Drosophila melanogaster: one gene and its partners. The protein of the gene in region 3 purifies or fractionates together with the protein of the main gene of each other region. This does not show direct contact. Each region holds a gene or a part of one and is shown on either strand. Other genes may lie near its edges. The genes, in order: Nubpl, Prx4 and mtDNA-helicase.

Region 1 (8,184 bases), about 12 Mb from region 3:
AAATAATAATAAGCAAGAACTATTGTCATTAAACAATATAAAGTGTACTATAAACAATTGTCATTAAACAATAAAGTAACACTATAAAGTAAAATTACTACATGTATGTTTCACTACCTATCCTTTTTTTTTAATACAAAGGCCGTTTCTGCCTGCTTCGTTTTTTTTTTCGGAATTGAAGCAGCATGTACGAGAAGTACTAATTTGCTAATTTTTTTAGGTTGAGGCTCTGCATATTCAAATGTTAACTGTTTTCGACCAGCTTTGCATAGTGTAATTTCTGGCTATGAATAACGACAACAATTTTAGACGGAAGCCACAATTAATGATTTCGTTTGAATTTCCTTAAGTGCTTGTTCACATAAGAACTAAATTGGTTCACTTTCCTTAAAATTGTAATATTTTGCTCTTTAGGCACAAAGTTCTCTTCTAAATATAACTGTTAACAGCGTCTGCATCGTTGTTGCTCCAAACACTCAGCTGCACTTCATGACTAAACTCATACACACCTACAACATAAAATGTTTCGTAAAAAAGGGCAAATTAGGAATCCAAAAATGAAAGCAGCATTAAAATATCAGTCACAAAAAAAATTACATTTATACCAAAATTTGCGGCTTTTAACCCATAGTTGCCGCAATGGCAACAATTTATTCAAGACCCTTAGTTCCTCTTTTAAAACATCCTGACGACCTTGAAGTACTAACGCCAGTGCACTTCTTAGGCACTGCCCCCCTCGCCTTGTTTGCTGAGCCTGATTTCACAAAATTAAATCTCAACCGATTGGATCGCTGGCAGCGAATCACTTACTACCAGTTAATATCTAACGCTTCTTCAGCAACGTTCCAAATGGCGAGCACAGAAGACAGACGTTCAAATCGATAATGTCCTTTTAGTAAAAGACGAAAACCTGCCACCCCTCAAATGGCCACTAGCTCGAGTAATAAATCTGATCCCTGGACTCAATGGCGTCGCACGAGTTGCTGTTCAATAGAGCCGTCGCTAAACTTTGCGTTCTACCCAAACAGGATGATGTTGTCAGCTAGAGTCCACCAACGGGGGGAGGATGTTTGGTTATGCAGCCAAACTCTTATACACTGATGACGCAATTTTGACTTACCCATTTATGGATTGTTTTTCTTTTTTATTGAAATAAAAATCTATAAACAACAAACTGCATTCTATATAAACTTTTTATTTATAGAATTGTTAAACTTTTAAGGGAAAAAAATTTCCAAAGCTCTCGCTCAAGCCGTTTTCCAAATATCTCACGTCAAATATTTTTGCTCAGGGGGCGCTAACCTGGTTTTAATTTTTATTCTGTGAAACTTGCTCATTTGGCTTCTGCATTCAGTTAACAATTAAGTGTTGATCGCACCGGTATTGCTATGATACACTTTAACTCAATCGGTTCGGTACGGGCCGCCGTTCGATATACCCTAAATAGACCCTAAAAAAAACTGAAATATTACTTGAAAAATTAACTTTAGCGTGTTTATAAATTGCCACACCACTTCTCCACCACTTGCCTCAACATGTTCTTCATCCAAGCTTGGCGAGGTTCGCCGAAAAATGTGACAGTTTAAATGTCAGCGGCAGGCAGAGACTTTTCACAGAGTAAACCGTTTTACGAGTATTCTTGTACTGCTGTTACTACTGTTGTTCCACTGTTGAGTTTTGACTGGTTTATTTGAATTACGTGGTAAACGTGGTCTAACGTGGTATTCCTATCGTAAACAAACTGCTCGCTATAGACATTCATTAGATGGGTTATAATAGTATTAATAAATATATACCGTCCAGTAAAAATACTCGCTTTCCCAGTTTTTTAATCTGCTCAATCGGTCGCTTCAGTCGCCAAAGAAAAATGCTAAATACCTAGGAATATTAATTGAGCTATCGAGAATTATCGAAAAATGACTTCGCAAAATAGGAATGATGGAAATGTGTGAGAATCGGCTATAAAGCTGTCGTCGCTGTTTTCACTATGAGTTTTATTTTTAGGATGGAAAATAAATTTATCGTTTTGTAACAATGGAGCGTCTATTGATCAACACGATATGGCGCTCCTACGCAACAAAATTAACTGGGTCCCAGGTGAAGTTAATGGCGCGGGGATTGCCTAAAAAGCAACCGATTATTGGAGTACAAGATATTATAGTCGTTGCCTCTGGAAAGGGTGGTGTTGGAAAAAGCACCGTGGCAGGTGTGTACTCACATATTTCGATTCATGGGTTATTGGAGTCCTTTTCACAGTTAATTTTGCCTGCAGCTTGGCAAAACTAGGAAAGCGAGTAGGATTGCTGGACGGGGATATCTTCGGGCCTACTATTCCACTTCTCATGAATGTCCATGGTGAGCCGGTTGTGAACGATAAGAATTTGATGATCCCGCCGCAAAACTACAATGTAAAGTGCTTGTCTATGGGCATGCTGACACCTGTAGAGACCTCTGTTATCTGGCGAGGTCCTCTTGTAATGTCAGCAATACAACGACTGCTAAAAGGTACTGATTGGGGGCTTCTAGATGTCCTAGTTATAGATACTCCACCGGGCACTGGAGATGTACATCTCTCACTATCCCAGCATGCACCTATCACAGGGGTTATCCTGGTAACAACACCTCATACTGCAGCTGTTCAGGTGACCTTGAAAGGTGCAAGCATGTACGAAAAGTTAAATGTTCCTATCTTTGGCGTAGTAGAGAACATGAAGTACACCATTTGTCAGAACTGTAATCAACGATTGGAGTTTTTTAAAGACAGCCGTATAAGTTCTCTACCGCGCAAGCTAATTTCTCTTCCGTTAGACTCACGAATAGCGGATAGCAACGAGAGTGGAGTGCCTGTTGTAATAAAATATCCGGACAGCAAGTACTCTTATCTATTTACCCAATTGGCTGAGGAGATTACACAAATACTTAACGAACAAAGATGTAATCAAAATCAAAATAACAGTGCACATTAAAAAAAATTTGTGTATATCAAAAATTCTTATTACTTACATTTGTTATGCTGTACCGCTAAAACCAATAAAGTTATCAGGGGAAAGGGACTGTTGTTTCGTTTCCCGCATTTACATTAAACAACACACCACAAAACCATGTCATGCTTCACAGCTAAGACTAAGAGAAGGTTTCAAACTAGTTCTGCTTTTTGTGGATTGATTTTTGCTGGTAGTTTCAAAAATGTAACGCCAACTAGCTGAAATCCTCTTCTGGCTTCTTTAATCTAGATTGCTCATCTTGTCTGTGACAGATACAATCTTCATGTTTAAATATGCCCTCCTATAGCAAAACGTGTCCCGGATATTAACCATCTCCACGCTTTCAAACAGGCTCTGAATTCGTGCGCTTGTGAGAATTACTATAGTATTCGCACCTCTAAATTTGGATATACACAGCCATTTCTAATGCTTTTTATCCATCCATTTATCAATGGTAAATTGTCAGTTTTGGCATCATCAACTTAAGGATGACAACCTATACTGAATTGTGATTCCGGGTTTCATTTTTATATTCATTAAATTATTATTTATTATTATTATCATTAAATATATTGCCCGAGAAAAGCGGATTGCCAAAACGAACCGATCTCTGCTCTGAAGAAGACAACGAAGCGACAATCAACTACAGACAAGGCAATACTTGTTTTTCGTAAACCTAAAACAAGGATCGAATGTCGACAAAGTACTGAAAATAACTCAACTAGGCAGACATCGAGTCACTATGGAGCGTGCGCGCCGCAGAAAAGAGTTTTACAGTCTGAAATGTCACATTTTTAGGCACTCAACGAATTATTGTCTTCAGAATCCCATCCGTGGTAAATGTGCTGGATCCCACGTTACACGAGGTCATGCTTTTAGTTTTCTTAATATTTCTATTCTCACTTTGCTCGTTTAAATGGGGCTCAACTTGAATCAAATATTGCTAAGCAATATCTGAAAGGATCAGAATCAATGCAAGACCTTAGCTTTGGGAATAAATTCCTCTAGAGAGATTCTAGAGACGAAGACGCAGAGCTAGTTTGTTGATCCATGTTGCCACGCCCACAAACCGCGCAAAACTGCCACGCCCAAATTTTTGAACCATTTTTCGACCTTTTTCTTAATTTTATTGGAACAATTTTTAAATTTGTTCTCATTTTATTCCCCAATATCAATCGCGATCCAAGAGAGCGTTCGCTCACACTTGCTGAGTAACGGGTATCTGATAGTCGGGGAACTCGACTATAGTATTCTCTCTTTTTTTATTATAATTTCATTTACTAATGTACGAAATATTTAATTGATGTCCTTCAATTTTGGGCTGCACTACACTCTAAACCAAATGCGGCGTCTCGCTCTCACTTACACTTACACATATAAAAAAACACTAACTCAAATTAATTCATTATTTCGGACCGGACCGAGATCGCTGCCTAGTTACGGAATCTCTTCGCGGTCGAAAATTTGGCCTAAAGATTTTTATCATGCATGCCAGTTTTCCGTAATTTCATTTAAATTTATGATTTTCACTTTCCCGGGCCTCAAGGCCCTGTCCTGGGGTCCCACAAAAACAGCCGCCGTCCTTCTATTTTCTATTGGTGATCCAAACGGCTTCGACTTTGTTCTCTTGCAAGACCCAGTTGATCTAGGGGTTAATATTCCGGCACTGCGTCCAAATTATATTTAAATTATGTTTTAGAGGTATCTAACCTGAATTTGCCCCGCACTCGCTTACCCTTTATTCCGAATCCAGCACCTCGATAATAATTTGAATTTTTTTAAGGAGACCCTATAGAGTCTCCGGTACAAAAGGAAAAATGGCGATCTTGATCAAGAGCCCCGAGAGAGGACATCGTCGTTACAATCCAGTACAAAGACCGGACGGAAGAGATACTGGGCAGGCAAAAGGATATAAGATATAAAAAAGCCAATGTGATCAACACAGTGGAAGTGATCGACCACACACGTACTCAGTATGGAGTTTGTATAAAGTTAAAGGGAAAGTTTTTTTTTGGAAAAGATCCTCTGAGTTCATGAAGGGGTTCGGGACGAACATCCAGCCAGGAGGGCCGAAACAAGCCAGAAGACAAGTAGGCCAAAGGTCGCGAAGTGATCGTCAGTCACAAGAGAGCGTATGAGATCAATCATATTGATGAGCAGTCGGACCCGAGATCTCAAGCGGAACACATTAAATCCCACACTTTTATAGACTCATCAAAGTGTAAGCGTTGTCATTGATTCGAAACTTTTTTTTAAATAAATTGGCGATTCCGTTATAGGATGGCTTGCATGGGATGGCTTAGTTTATTCGAAAGAAACACACGTATTGCTCGAATCATTATATACGTTGCCCCGCATGGGGCATTGAACTTATCAATACGGTTAGCATAAGTAATAAGTATCGTATTGGACTTGTCGTTAAGGTTTAACAATAACATTAACATTAATAAGTATTTATCTTCTTACAGTCGGCCCTTCCTGATTTAAATTAACGTCCTCGCTGGACGTCGTCGTCCGGAAGGCGACACCACGGTTTGAGCTTATCGGATGAGTAGACGGACTTATAATGGCGTAGAGTCCTTCGATGACATATCGATCGTTCGTTTTTACCGTTCCAGTTGCGGCAGGCTCATTCTCCACTAAGATGAGATAATCTTTTTTATACATAGTCGGAGGATTATGTTTGGCATCGTAGTATAGTCTCGCTTTGACAATATTCCGTATCTTCTCATCTTAAAATTGAATGCTAAATAGCCAGTCTCCTTCGTCGATTATGGTCTTGGATATTTTTAAGTCGGCGTTGTTCAATTCGTGCGCTGGTTCATATGGAGATCGACTAAGCACGTCCACATGTTCCTGTGGAACATGTCCTGGATGAGTAGCCACCACCGGGCTGTTCTTGGGATGAGTTCGCGTTTTCTCAATGTTGTACGTAATGCGCTGCAATCATTAATGACTTTAATACGCTTGCTATACACATAATATGTAAACCTTTCCAGCGCCTCTACAACGGCGAGAGCTTCTAGTTCGTAGCTGTGCATTTTCCTTACGACCTTCGTTGTTGACCGGCTGAAGTATGCGATTGGTAACAGCTTGTCGTTATCTCGCTGCAGGTCGATCGAACTAGCGTCTGTATGAAGTTCGTGCTCCGCGTCTACGCGGTAGATTACAAGAATCGGTTTACAACTGAGCTTCTGTTTTAATTCGTTTAATGAGTCTTCCTGCTGCTGCTGCCATTAGAAGTTGACATTTTTTCGGAACAAATTCTGGTTTCGGAAATTCGACTACATCATTTGTCTTTACTTCTCCTGGGCTAAGACAGGAGAGTTTCATTATAAAATTCGCATTTGTCGATGTTTAACGTTAAACCACATTCGCTTAATGCGCTTAAAACCACTGAAACTTTGCCAGTCATCTCATCGAAAGAGTTGCTCCAAGCGAGGATGTCGTCCATATAGTGCAACATGTTGTCTTTGCGGTGAATCTTCTGAATGCGGTCGATTTGCGATCCGCTAACAGCTAAGCTTAAAGACTGATGAATGACGAACGATACTAACACAAATATTTTTCAGAAACTTTTAATATTCGTTAATCGTAATGTTGGAGAGGTAAGAGCCGTACCAAGATGCTGAACATAGGATGGATAGGCCCAAGTCCTTTTTGAATGCGAGGGCACTAATACGCAGACGTAACAACTATATGCATTTGTTTTTATTTTTCTGTTTGTGTGCGTGTACTAAACATGCCTTCTTCTACTCTTACTGACCATATCGTTTGTATTTTCTGATCGCATTTTTTCTCATCTCATTTCTCTCATTATCTTACATAGACATCAAACAGTCTTGAATTACTTAAATATCCAAAGTAGGCATATTTAAAACAGTTAACTTTGGTACTTTTCGAATTTGTTGAACCTCCTTCCGAGCTTAGAATTCTCACCTTTATTACCTATGAGCTCTTTGTTGGGATCTTCATTCAGAACGTCGTTCACTACATTGAGCCTTTCACATGTCGGTCAACGCAAAACTTACATGTCACAACTTATCCCCGAAATCTCTCTAAAGCATAACTGCTTTTAATCCAAACTTACATACATCTGTATAAATCTCTGTCTCAAGTGATCGTAAAGCTTTAGAACTTTTCCTTTGATTAACGCTATTTTTAACATTTCAAATGCTCCTTAGTGCTTTTATGAAAACTCATATTTTTTTGGTACTGTCATATTTATGTCTCTAGCATATGAAATACATTCGTCGCTGTACAGTTATTCAGCTCAGCTGACCCGCAAATCCCGCAACCTAAAAAACTGTCTTTCTCCCTTTAAATCCAGTCGTATCTTATTGAACTCCAAGAGCTTCCAACGCAACAATTCCACTCCATCTCTCTTTTCTTTTTTTTTTGCCGACACCGCGGTATCGATGACAATATTTAGATTCCTCTCAGCCAACCGACGCTCGATAAGTAATGCAGGGAACGTACTCAAAAAAGTCGCCGTCGTCCTCGATCGCGCTAAAGCGAGTGAGTTATTCAAGCTGGTATTACTGCCAGTAACATGACATCGATGTGATTTTTCATATGGGCATTGGGTTTTTTAATAACAATAATTTTGTATACCAATTCTTTGAAATCATTGAAAAAATTTTTTTTGAATTATATTATTATATATTTTTAATATTTATATTATTATATATCAATGTAGTTGTATTGTGAGGCATTGGAAACAGTACGTTTGTAGTACTACTCAGATATTGGCAAATGTTACCTTAACCGAACACACATTTGAAATTTTATTCCATGTAGTTTTAGGTGATTAAGTTAAGATATCTTAATTGGACGAAAAATATTGAGCCAAGATATGGGAGTTACAATAACATTTAACGCTCTAAATATATTTAGTGAAAAGTCCTTTTCACCTGTTTGATTTCTGAATGTAAATTTGATTTCGCTAGTGTCGATACTGATTTACGTGGACCAGACCAAGATAAATTAATATCATTATTACTAGACTACTCAAGTTTATTCTTAAGTGGTATTCCACAAAGAAGAAAGAAACTCGACAACAGCGTTCACTCTTTCACTCATATACCCCCCGAGTAAACTCAGAGGTACCAATTCGGTTGCACACTTGTCGGGTAACACACCCCCTTTGGTGAAGGAGATCCTTCTAGCTTAAGCAACCACAGCCACCATGAAACTCCCA
Region 2 (4,388 bases), on a different chromosome or scaffold from region 3:
ATTTTAAAAGTTTTGGTATGTAGTATGTTCCCCATTGGCTTTAGCTACAAGTTGAAGCCTTTTTTTCATGGATTGGACAAGTTTTTGCAGGTCATATTCAAACGGGATCTTTTCACACTCTTCGACTATTACAGTCATAAGCTGTTGTTGTGTTTTAGGTCCCTTTTTGCCACCTTCTTCTTTAAGTAGGTCCACAAATTTTCAATGGGGTTCAGATCAGGACTCTGAGGGGGCGTATCGATCACTTTACCACAGTTATTAAGGCGCCAGGTGCGTACATTGCACTCTTTATGTTTCTGATCATGTCCTGGTAAAACTTAAGATTTGGCTTGTTGTTGCTAACTAGACCGAATTTTTCTGCACTGGCCTTCAAATTTGTTTTTTAACATTTCTAGATATTGCACGGCAGTTATTGTGCTCTCAATTAAGGCTAGTTTTCCCACTCCACGGCTGGTGATACAGCCCCAAACCATCAGTGACATTTTTCCAAATTTTATCGTTGGAATGATATTTTGTTTTTCTAGCGCACTCAACGGTTTGCGCCATACTCTGCTTGGCCCGTCGTTATAAAAGAGCATCATTTTTGTTTCGTCACAAAATATGACGTCATCCCAGTACTCTTCCGCATGATCCATCATGCTCACAGCGAATTAATGACGCTTTTCCATATTGGCATCTGATAGCAAAGGGTTTTTCCTTGCAAATCTTGAAGAGTACCTATGGCGTAGGATGACTTGGCGCACAGTTTCGTGTGACACAGTTAGGTGGCATTCTTGCCTGATATCCAGAGCAAGTGATCTGACCGAGATTCGGGGGTTCGCAATCACTATTCGCATAATAAAGCGGTCTACACGCTTTTTAATTTTAATTTTCCGCCCACCACCGCTCTTAGGTTCAAGCCTGCCCTCTTTTTCCGAGCCTTTTAAAACATTGTAGACGGTCTTACGGGATACAGGAAACATTTATACTAATTCTGGAAAAGATTTTCCCAACTGGTGGTTATAGTTTATTAATTGGGTAACTTCAAAAGTTAATCTCTTTCCAGGCATTTTATTAAATTTAATAATTCGCTTTAAGCACGTTTGATCAGCAAAATTTCACAAGCAAAGTCAACAAAATTTCAATAGAAGCGTTGTAAAAAGCAATGCAAAGCCAAAAATAACGGAAAAATCGAGTTCGTTCTAAGAAAAAGAACAAAACAAAGTAGGAAAACAAAATGTGTAAAGAGTTTCTTGACAGTCTCAAAAGTGTGTAAACTTGGAATTTGTTGTTTATTTTCTTGTATATTTAATATTTTTAATTTGTTTTTTGATTTATAAGTAAAATAAATATTGTTTAATTATATTTTATAAAAAAATTGCGTTTAATTAAGCAAAAAACCCTTTATTTTTAGCTTTAAAGTCAAAAATTCAACTTATTTCACAGTGTGTAAACAGTTTCTTGACAAACTGTATATATTTTAATAAAGTTTATAGCGTAAGTAAAAGTTAACTGAGAAAGTGTTTTTTACTTAAAAAAAATTGGATAGATCATAGCATGGCCATACATCGCTTTTGATTCGCCAATGCAGCACAGATATTTTTTCTAAAATAATATTCTTTCAAAATTGCAGTTACGCGTTAATATGAAATGAAAATTCAAATATTTCATAATGAAATTTATGTTGGCAATGCTGAACTATGCATTGGTGTCGGAACGACAGTATGGTATTTTTGCGTATTACGGTCACACCAATGCCGGCAGAACAATTTGTTATTAAAACAAAAAGAGTTAATTATAGCGCTTAAAAGGTAACAGCTGTGCGTTTGCATTGTTGCTTAATGCAAGCAAGTTAACTACCCTGCAACTAAAAATAAATATTCAAATCGGAGCTAGGCAATCGCATTGGCATTGGAATTTTAGTAGTTTTGTAAACTATATTTGTTTAAATCGGTTACACGCTGACAACTATAAATTATAATAGCAGTGAAGTGAATGAAATTGATAAGCTTATCTTTTCGGAAGCGCAGCAACAATAAGCGCGTTCCACCAAAATCAATTGAAGTTCTGCCCGTTGAAATAGTTACTTTTTTGACTGCGTGGCTACAAGTTGTGGGCGTGTTCGAATTTTGGGTATGTGCGTACAGTAGAGACTGGCTGACACGGACGGAACAAGGATTTAGTACATAGAAGGAGTATCTTTTCTTTGAAGTTTAGTTTTGTTCCTAATTAACATTCAAAATTATATATCTTTACATAATTTACAAAATTAAAGATAGTTGGGCGACCACTGTACACAGATTTATTATAAATATAAAGAGCGGCAATAATTGTAAAGGCCGCGTGTAATAAATAGCGTATAAACCGAATCCAATAGCCATATACGTACGTGGATCTCGTTTCAGCCCAATCATGTCCAAGTACTTATCTGTCCTACTGCTGTCCGCGGCACTCGTTGGAGCTGCCAAGCCGGAAGATAATGAATCGTGCTATTCCTTCGCCGGCGGCTCCGTTTATCCCGACCAGCCGAAGGGCGACCATCAGCTGCAGTACACCAAGGCAGTCAGTGAGTTCCATTGGATGCAAAAAACCAGGGATCACTATTAAGTTGCTGCTACCCTTATTTCCCCAGTTTCCAAGCCAGCTCCGCAGTTCGAGGGCACCGCCGTGGTTAATAAGGAGATTGTGAAGCTATCATTGTCCCAGTATCTAGGGAAATATGTGGTGCTACTCTTCTACCCACTGGACTTGTAAGTTTACATTTACATTTAGTATGATCGCATTTCTCATTGCCATTTTAGCACCTTTGTATGCCCAACGGAGATCATTGCCTTCTCCGACCGCATCGCCGAGTTCAAGAAGATCAAGACCGAGGTGATTGGCGTCAGCGTGGACTCGCACTTCACCCACTTGGCCTGGATAAACACGCCGCGCAAGGAGGGCGGCCTGGGCGACGTGAAGATCCCACTGCTCTCCGATCTAACGCATAAGATCAGCAAGGACTACGGAGTCTACTTGGAGTCCAGCGGTCATGCGCTGCGCGGTCTCTTCATTATCGATCAGACCGGAGTGCTGCGACAGATCACCATGAATGATTTGCCCGTGGGACGCTCTGTGGACGAGACTATTCGTCTGGTTCAGGCCTTCCAGTATACGGACACCCATGGAGAGGTTTGCCCAGCAGGTTGGCGGCCAGGTGCCGATACGGTAGGTTTTTTGAAGCATTGCCTTAGGTAAATTCTTTTTGATACCATTACCTTTACAGATCGTTCCCAATCCTGAGGAGAAGACGAAGTACTTTGCCAAGAACAACTAGGGACAGATAGAGATGCACATTACCTTAGTAGCCTAGCCCAGTTACATTCCTAATGTTCACGACTGAATCACGATGCAAACGAACAATCGCTAGAGTCCTCTGTACAGAAAATCCAAATCCGCAATGCCACCGATTGTGAATATTTCGCATTTGCTTTGTACAAAACATAGTTTGTTTATTTTACAGCATAACTGAGATATAAATAAATTCATGAAGTACATGTGAAGGTGATGAAAATTGCGCGGCGCCACAGGAGCGGTACCAAAAAGGAGGAGATGTTTTCGATCTCAAAATGCCTTGAAAGCTGGCTCACTAGGCCACTCTAATGGGTAACAATTCGATTGCAATTAGTTTCATACAAAAATATATGTAATATGTAATATGTAGTAGGTAAAAGGTAATAGTAAATTAGTTAGGTACGCCATGGTTGCAATTAAGTTATCCTGTGCTCCGACCTATGCGTACAACAAAGCTAGGTCTGTCGAGGTATATAAATCTGGGGAAACGGGACGGGGGCGACGACAATAACTAGGACGTCATAAGGCACTCGTTCTCGTCGGATTCTTCGTGTGTAGTCTGCTTTCTGTTTTCCGTTTTGTGCGTTTGTCAGTAAGTGCTTCATTGTGGTGAGCTTTAAATGCCAAAACCGAGGTTCATAAAATAACGAAGGTGCAACTGCGGTTCAGATCCAAGTTGTGCGGGAGATTCCTTTGCTGCGGAGATTCCGTATCGATCAAAGCGTTGCACTGTTCAGATTCCCGGAAACGTTAATCAAATAAGGGGTTAAAAAGTTCTTAGAGCTATGACCATGCAACACGTCGAACCAAAAAGCAGTCGGCGATTATAATGTTTGGGCGTTTGTTCCTTTAGAATGCGATTCATCATACAGCCTACTGCTCGTAGTAAACCGCGTCCTGGAATTAAGACAAACACAAATCAATGAAGGGAAACGAGTATATAGCACTGGCATATGCTTTATTTCACTCAGTGATATATATGATATACTGATATACTCACAATCAAAAAGAGCGCTGCGAATATGAGCGCCTTCATGCGGACATCCAGATTCAGGGGGAAGGTGACGCTGAAGTAG
Region 3 (4,826 bases):
TATTTTAATTTACCTCAACTGCTCCCCTTTTTCTGTAGTCATTTTACGCTTCCAAAATTTGCAATTGAGATGGTCGATAACAACCTTCGATAGACACTTAGTTGGGAAATATGCGGTCAATCGGTAGCAAACAATCGATATTAATATCAATGGAATGGTCACTCTGTTTTTGCAAAACGTAAATAAAAAACAAATTGAATTGATAACAAAAATGGTTTGCGAGAAGTGCGAGGCCAAGCTCTCCAAAGTTTCAGCGCCCAATCCCTGGCGAACGAGCACAGCTCCTGCGGGAGGACGTAAAATCAACGAGAACAAGGCTTTATCCTCGGCCCGCGAGCGATACAATCCCATAGGGACTGCTTTACCACCTTGCCGGTAGGGAAATCTCCTCAAGAATTCATCTGCATATCTTAATCTGATTTTTAATTATCCAGAATCTGCCGACAGAAAGTGCACCAGATGGGTTCGCACTATTGCCAGGCGTGCGCCTACAAAAAGGCCATATGCGCCATGTGCGGCAAGAAGATCATGAACACCAAGAACTACAAGCAGAGCTCAACGTGATGCAGTTTATCAAAGGATGCACTTAAGACTAAACTAACCATAGACAACAGAATAATTATAACCTATAGTACAACAAATGCCTTACTAATCAGTTCTCGGATGGCGTCTTTTCCCGTTTTCGCTTGGCATTTTGGATCTGGGTTGAGTAGCTCAAGCCGTCTTTGTCGAATTCCAGTGGCATGATGCCCAGGTCGCCGGAATAACGATTCTTGGCAATTTGGAGATACTTCTTGCCCCGCACAGAAGTCAGCCTCTTGTCTTGAATGATCAACACGTTGTCCGCTTCTTGGGTGGCCTTTGCTGTGCCGAAAACCGAGCTGGTGGTCAGCTCGTCCTCCTGCCGCTCCTTGCGCGGATGCATTACGAGTGTCACGTGTACATTGTGCTTGGTGGCAAAGGAGCGAAAGGCAGCTATAATAGAGTCCTGTTCAAAGAACTTGTCGCCTCGAAATGTGGACACGCCCATCATAAATTGCAGATTGTCAATGATCACGTGCATCACATCGTGCACATACGACGCATGCTCGATGGCTTCCAGAACCGGCTTAAGGGGCTGCTGTCCGTGGAAGGTCATAAAGTATAGCGGCAAACGCTCAAACTCCGCTGCCCAGTGGTTAAACTCATGCAACCGGTCGTCCAACGGGTAGCCCACATACTGGCGAAGCAAGGTGGCCGCCAGCCGGGTGTTTCGGATCTCAAAAGAGCCCCACAGCGTGTTTACGCCCTGCATGGCCAGATCCAGAGAGTACTCGCTCATAAAGGTTGTCTTTCCACTACCCGTGGGTCCTGTGAGGATTGTCAACTCTCCCCTCCGATGGCCTTTGAGCAGCTTATTCAGTACTGGAAAGCGCTTCCACTTTACTCCATTGACTTTCTCGATGTTTTGCAACTCGCTGAGAATGTCATTTCGCATTGCTCCGAATGTTGTGATGGCCTTGTGCTGCACCGGTGTCGCTTTGGCCAGGATGTGGCGCAGATTGAGTCGTCGGCGCAGAGCCAAATGTGGCGCAGGTTCCGTCTCAGTAGGTCGGATTAACAGGCATCGCCTTTCGTCCAACTTTAACGCAAAAGCTCTAGCTGCATCCCAGCTGTGACTGGCATCGTAGTGCAACCAAAAGATGAGCTCTTTGAAGCGTTCCAAGGCGGGCAGACACTCTTGTGGTAGAGTCTTCAGTTCGTAGGGCAGGCATACAACGCAATCTAGGAGACAATTTAATTTTTAAATTAAATTATATCTTAAATGTGTACTAGCTGAGCCAAACTGGTTTCCAAATTATTTTTAATTGATATCTTAAATATATCACCCTAGGATTTCTTCACTATTCTGCAACCAATGAAAAATATTCCTAAAAGCTATGTTTTCACTTACGCGTTTCAATGTTCTGTGTGGCAAGGACAATAAAGTCAATTAGATTGCTGACTAGAACCGCTTTGGTTTTGTTCATCGCACCGTGAATCAGCAGCCCGGAGCTGGAGCTGCTCTGGAAGATCTCCTCCCGTCGATCGCCCAGATATAACACCTTTTCGCCAACCTCCACTTGCGCGGCATTGCGTAACTTAAAGTGGAGCAGCTGTTGCTGCGGCTCCCACTGTGCTCCTATGGCATTTAGTTGGTCCTCCTTCAAGCCCTTGATTCCCAAAGCTGCACAGGCCTCGGGAGTAACCACGGCCAGGTGGGGAAATCGGGATTCATAGACCGGCTGCCTCTGCAGCGGTTGCTTATAGCCAACCGGCTTGGGCAACTGATAGGATAATAAAGCGCTGGTCAGTGAGGTTTTTACGTCGCAATTGGGGCAGATAAAGGCTCCTAAAGGAAAATTGAATATACTACGGTTTTTTTTGCGAAATGTAATTGGTGCTCTCACCCGTCCGCTTGTTTACGTAAGCCAGCAGCCCATGATCGGTGCCCTTTTGGGCGTTTGTCACCGGCTGCCTATTGCGATCGCAGAGGCGACACTCCAGCTGCAAGCACGTGTGTCCGTCTTTGTGGGGCAAGTTGAGCTGCCGCAGCTGCCGCTTGAAGTCCACATACTCCTTGGGGTCTAGTGAGCACTCCTCCAAGCCGGAAACCACTTGGGTAGCGTAGTTTTTTCTCCAAACACGTTGTTTTTCGTTATTTATACGCAACAGCGGTTTGATTAAACCGGCGCGTCTCATTTTCCATGTTATCGATATCGAAAGTGAGGGGTGGAAAATAGGGATGACAATTGGGCGCGCAATTTTGAAGATTTGTTTACCTACTATTAATCATTCAAATATCTTTGTACTCTCTCAGTGCTCTGGGAAGCGCTCTATTTAATACTAGGAAATCTCATTAAATTACTTTCGTAAAGTGCGCTTACAATTGTGCTAAATTGTTCGATAAATACCAGTTTAGTTAAGCACGGTAAATTCAAATTATAAAGCATTATCTATCTATAACTTTGTTCTAAGGTCAATACTTTATTTGTACAACTGATTAAACAAATTGCGGCTCTTTTCCACCATCCCAATAACAATAAAAAATATATACAATTCGTGATTATTTGATTTTATTAGTTTATTTATTTTAGTATTTGAAGATGTCCAATTCTTTTTATATCAAGATCTTTTACACAAGGCAACGTCACTCTGCAATTAAAGTAAAATATAAAATATATTAAATACATCATCTCAAGACAGCCGAAATATATATATTTGTATTAGTCAGACGCCTTAGACCATCCTTAAGCCGAAGCTTTCTGGTGGAAACCGCAAAAGGTGTTTAAGGTAATCATCAGTTTATTTATTAATTTAAAAAAAAAAATTCTCGAAAATATTACCTTATACAGTCGAATAAACGAGCTCATTTAGTTATATTTGCCTGCGATAAACCACATTTCTGAGTTGATCTGGAAACAAGAGATAAAATAGGTAAGTAAAATGCTAGTTTAAGTATAATAAAGTTTTTATTGAAACTTTTTAGTCAGACGCCTTAGACCATCATTAAGCCGAAGCTTTCTGGTGGAAACCGCAAAAGGTGTTGAAGTTAATCATCAGTAAAACGTATATTGCATTCAAACATAAAAATGTTAGTGTAAATAAATTACCTTTATCGGTAAATCCATGTGCTCGCTGCTGCAGCTGGACCCATACATAACCTCAAACCAGAATGTAAATTCTGGAAATAAAAGAAAATGGCATCAATACAGTGTGTACAAGGAGTACTTCCAAATATTTTATATATTTGATTAGGTTTCAGTTTACAATTTTCTGCACGGTTATGAGCTCAGTACAGGTCTGTGTAAAAGATCATCAGAGAAGCATAGACCAACCAAAAGTATTAATATCTTACCTCCAATGTGACAATGGCGTCTCCAGTGGGCTCAGTGCCCAAGGTGTCTCAACGGGCTCACATGTTGTCCCGAGGTGTCTCACATGCACCATGCACGTGGAGTGCCCGGATTTCGATTTATCCAAATGCTTAGGGTTTCAATATTGTTCACTGCAAGAAATACAGAACTTTTAGAACATATTCTTGCCAAACCCAAAGAAAGTTCTTGAAGTTATATGCCATCAGATCGCCGAATCATCTTAAATGAACAAATATATAACGAGGCACTGAAAAATACAGCGCCAAGTCGAGAATTTGTTCCTTCAGTCTCGTCATCTGTTTCATCATTTGAGGCATAACACTCTTCCATTTAAGCACTTTAATTCACTTGATATAAAACTATTTACGAAGAGCACACAACTTACCATTTCGAGTCTTGAAATAAAATGAACGAGTTTCGTCATCGCACGTGGAAGGAAAAATTCTGTGAAAAGATGGCGGCCAACTATCGATGTCTCTGAATGCAACCATGGTAGTATCGTATCGGAAAAATTGTTTGGTTTTTGCCTGATATATATTGTATAAGAATGTGCAATAATTAACTTAACCGAATAAATGATATTCCATTTAATTTTCATTAAATCATTCATAAAATACTTAATATATGAAAAACTTTCATATTTATATGTTAATTCGATGTATCGATTGCCTATCGCTGTCTTCGGTGATCTAGCCCAAACAGCTGATTTTACCAAAATACTTACCACACGTGTGCCACTTTTTAAGTTATATTGTTTACAGTTTTTGGGAATTACAGCTTACAATGGTATATATAAATCTTTAATATTTAATTAAACCCGACCTAACATCTTCAGTTCTTTTGCAGGGAAAACACAAGAAAACGCAGAAGGTTAAGAAACAACGTAATGCACAGCTTAAACGCATCATAAAACCCACAGACGCGCGGCTT

Evidence for each region.
Region 1: the proteins of mtDNA-helicase (region 3) and Nubpl purify together in Drosophila melanogaster (affinity purification with mass spectrometry, with the first as the bait; one large-scale study listed by BioGRID). This does not show direct contact.
Region 2: the proteins of mtDNA-helicase (region 3) and Prx4 purify together in Drosophila melanogaster (affinity purification with mass spectrometry, with the first as the bait; one large-scale study listed by BioGRID). This does not show direct contact.

What each region holds. Positions count from the first base shown.
Region 1 is NT_033779.5:22,237,898-22,246,081, forward strand, and holds the start of Nubpl (NUBP iron-sulfur cluster assembly factor, mitochondrial), read left to right. Parts: upstream 1-2,018; 5' UTR 2,019-2,034; coding exon 2,035-2,206; intron 2,207-2,256; coding exon 2,257-2,966; 3' UTR 2,967-8,184. UniProt on the Drosophila melanogaster protein: Iron-sulfur cluster transfer protein involved in the assembly of the mitochondrial membrane respiratory chain NADH dehydrogenase (Complex I). May deliver one or more Fe-S clusters to complex I subunits.
Region 2 is NT_037436.4:3,040,661-3,045,048, forward strand, and holds Prx4 (peroxiredoxin 4), read left to right. Parts: upstream 1-1,698; 5' UTR 1,699-1,790; intron 1,791-1,889; exon of another isoform or gene 1,890-2,112; intron 2,113-2,384; 5' UTR 2,385-2,391; coding exon 2,392-2,545; intron 2,546-2,611; coding exon 2,612-2,729; intron 2,730-2,780; coding exon 2,781-3,186; intron 3,187-3,244; coding exon 3,245-3,295; 3' UTR 3,296-3,514; downstream 3,515-4,388. Other genes in the region: scramb2 (scramblase 2), read right to left, coding at 4,186-4,209, 4,313-4,388.
Region 3 is NT_033779.5:9,890,699-9,895,524, forward strand, and holds mtDNA-helicase (mitochondrial DNA helicase), read right to left. Parts: upstream 2,749-4,826; 5' UTR 2,722-2,748; coding exon 2,430-2,721; intron 2,372-2,429; coding exon 1,934-2,371; intron 1,765-1,933; coding exon 653-1,764; 3' UTR 565-652; downstream 1-564. Other genes in the region: CG34183 (uncharacterized protein), read right to left, coding at 14-42; CG4537 (uncharacterized protein), read left to right, coding at 212-375, 435-564; Bka (bekka), read left to right, coding at 4,680-4,682, 4,743-4,826.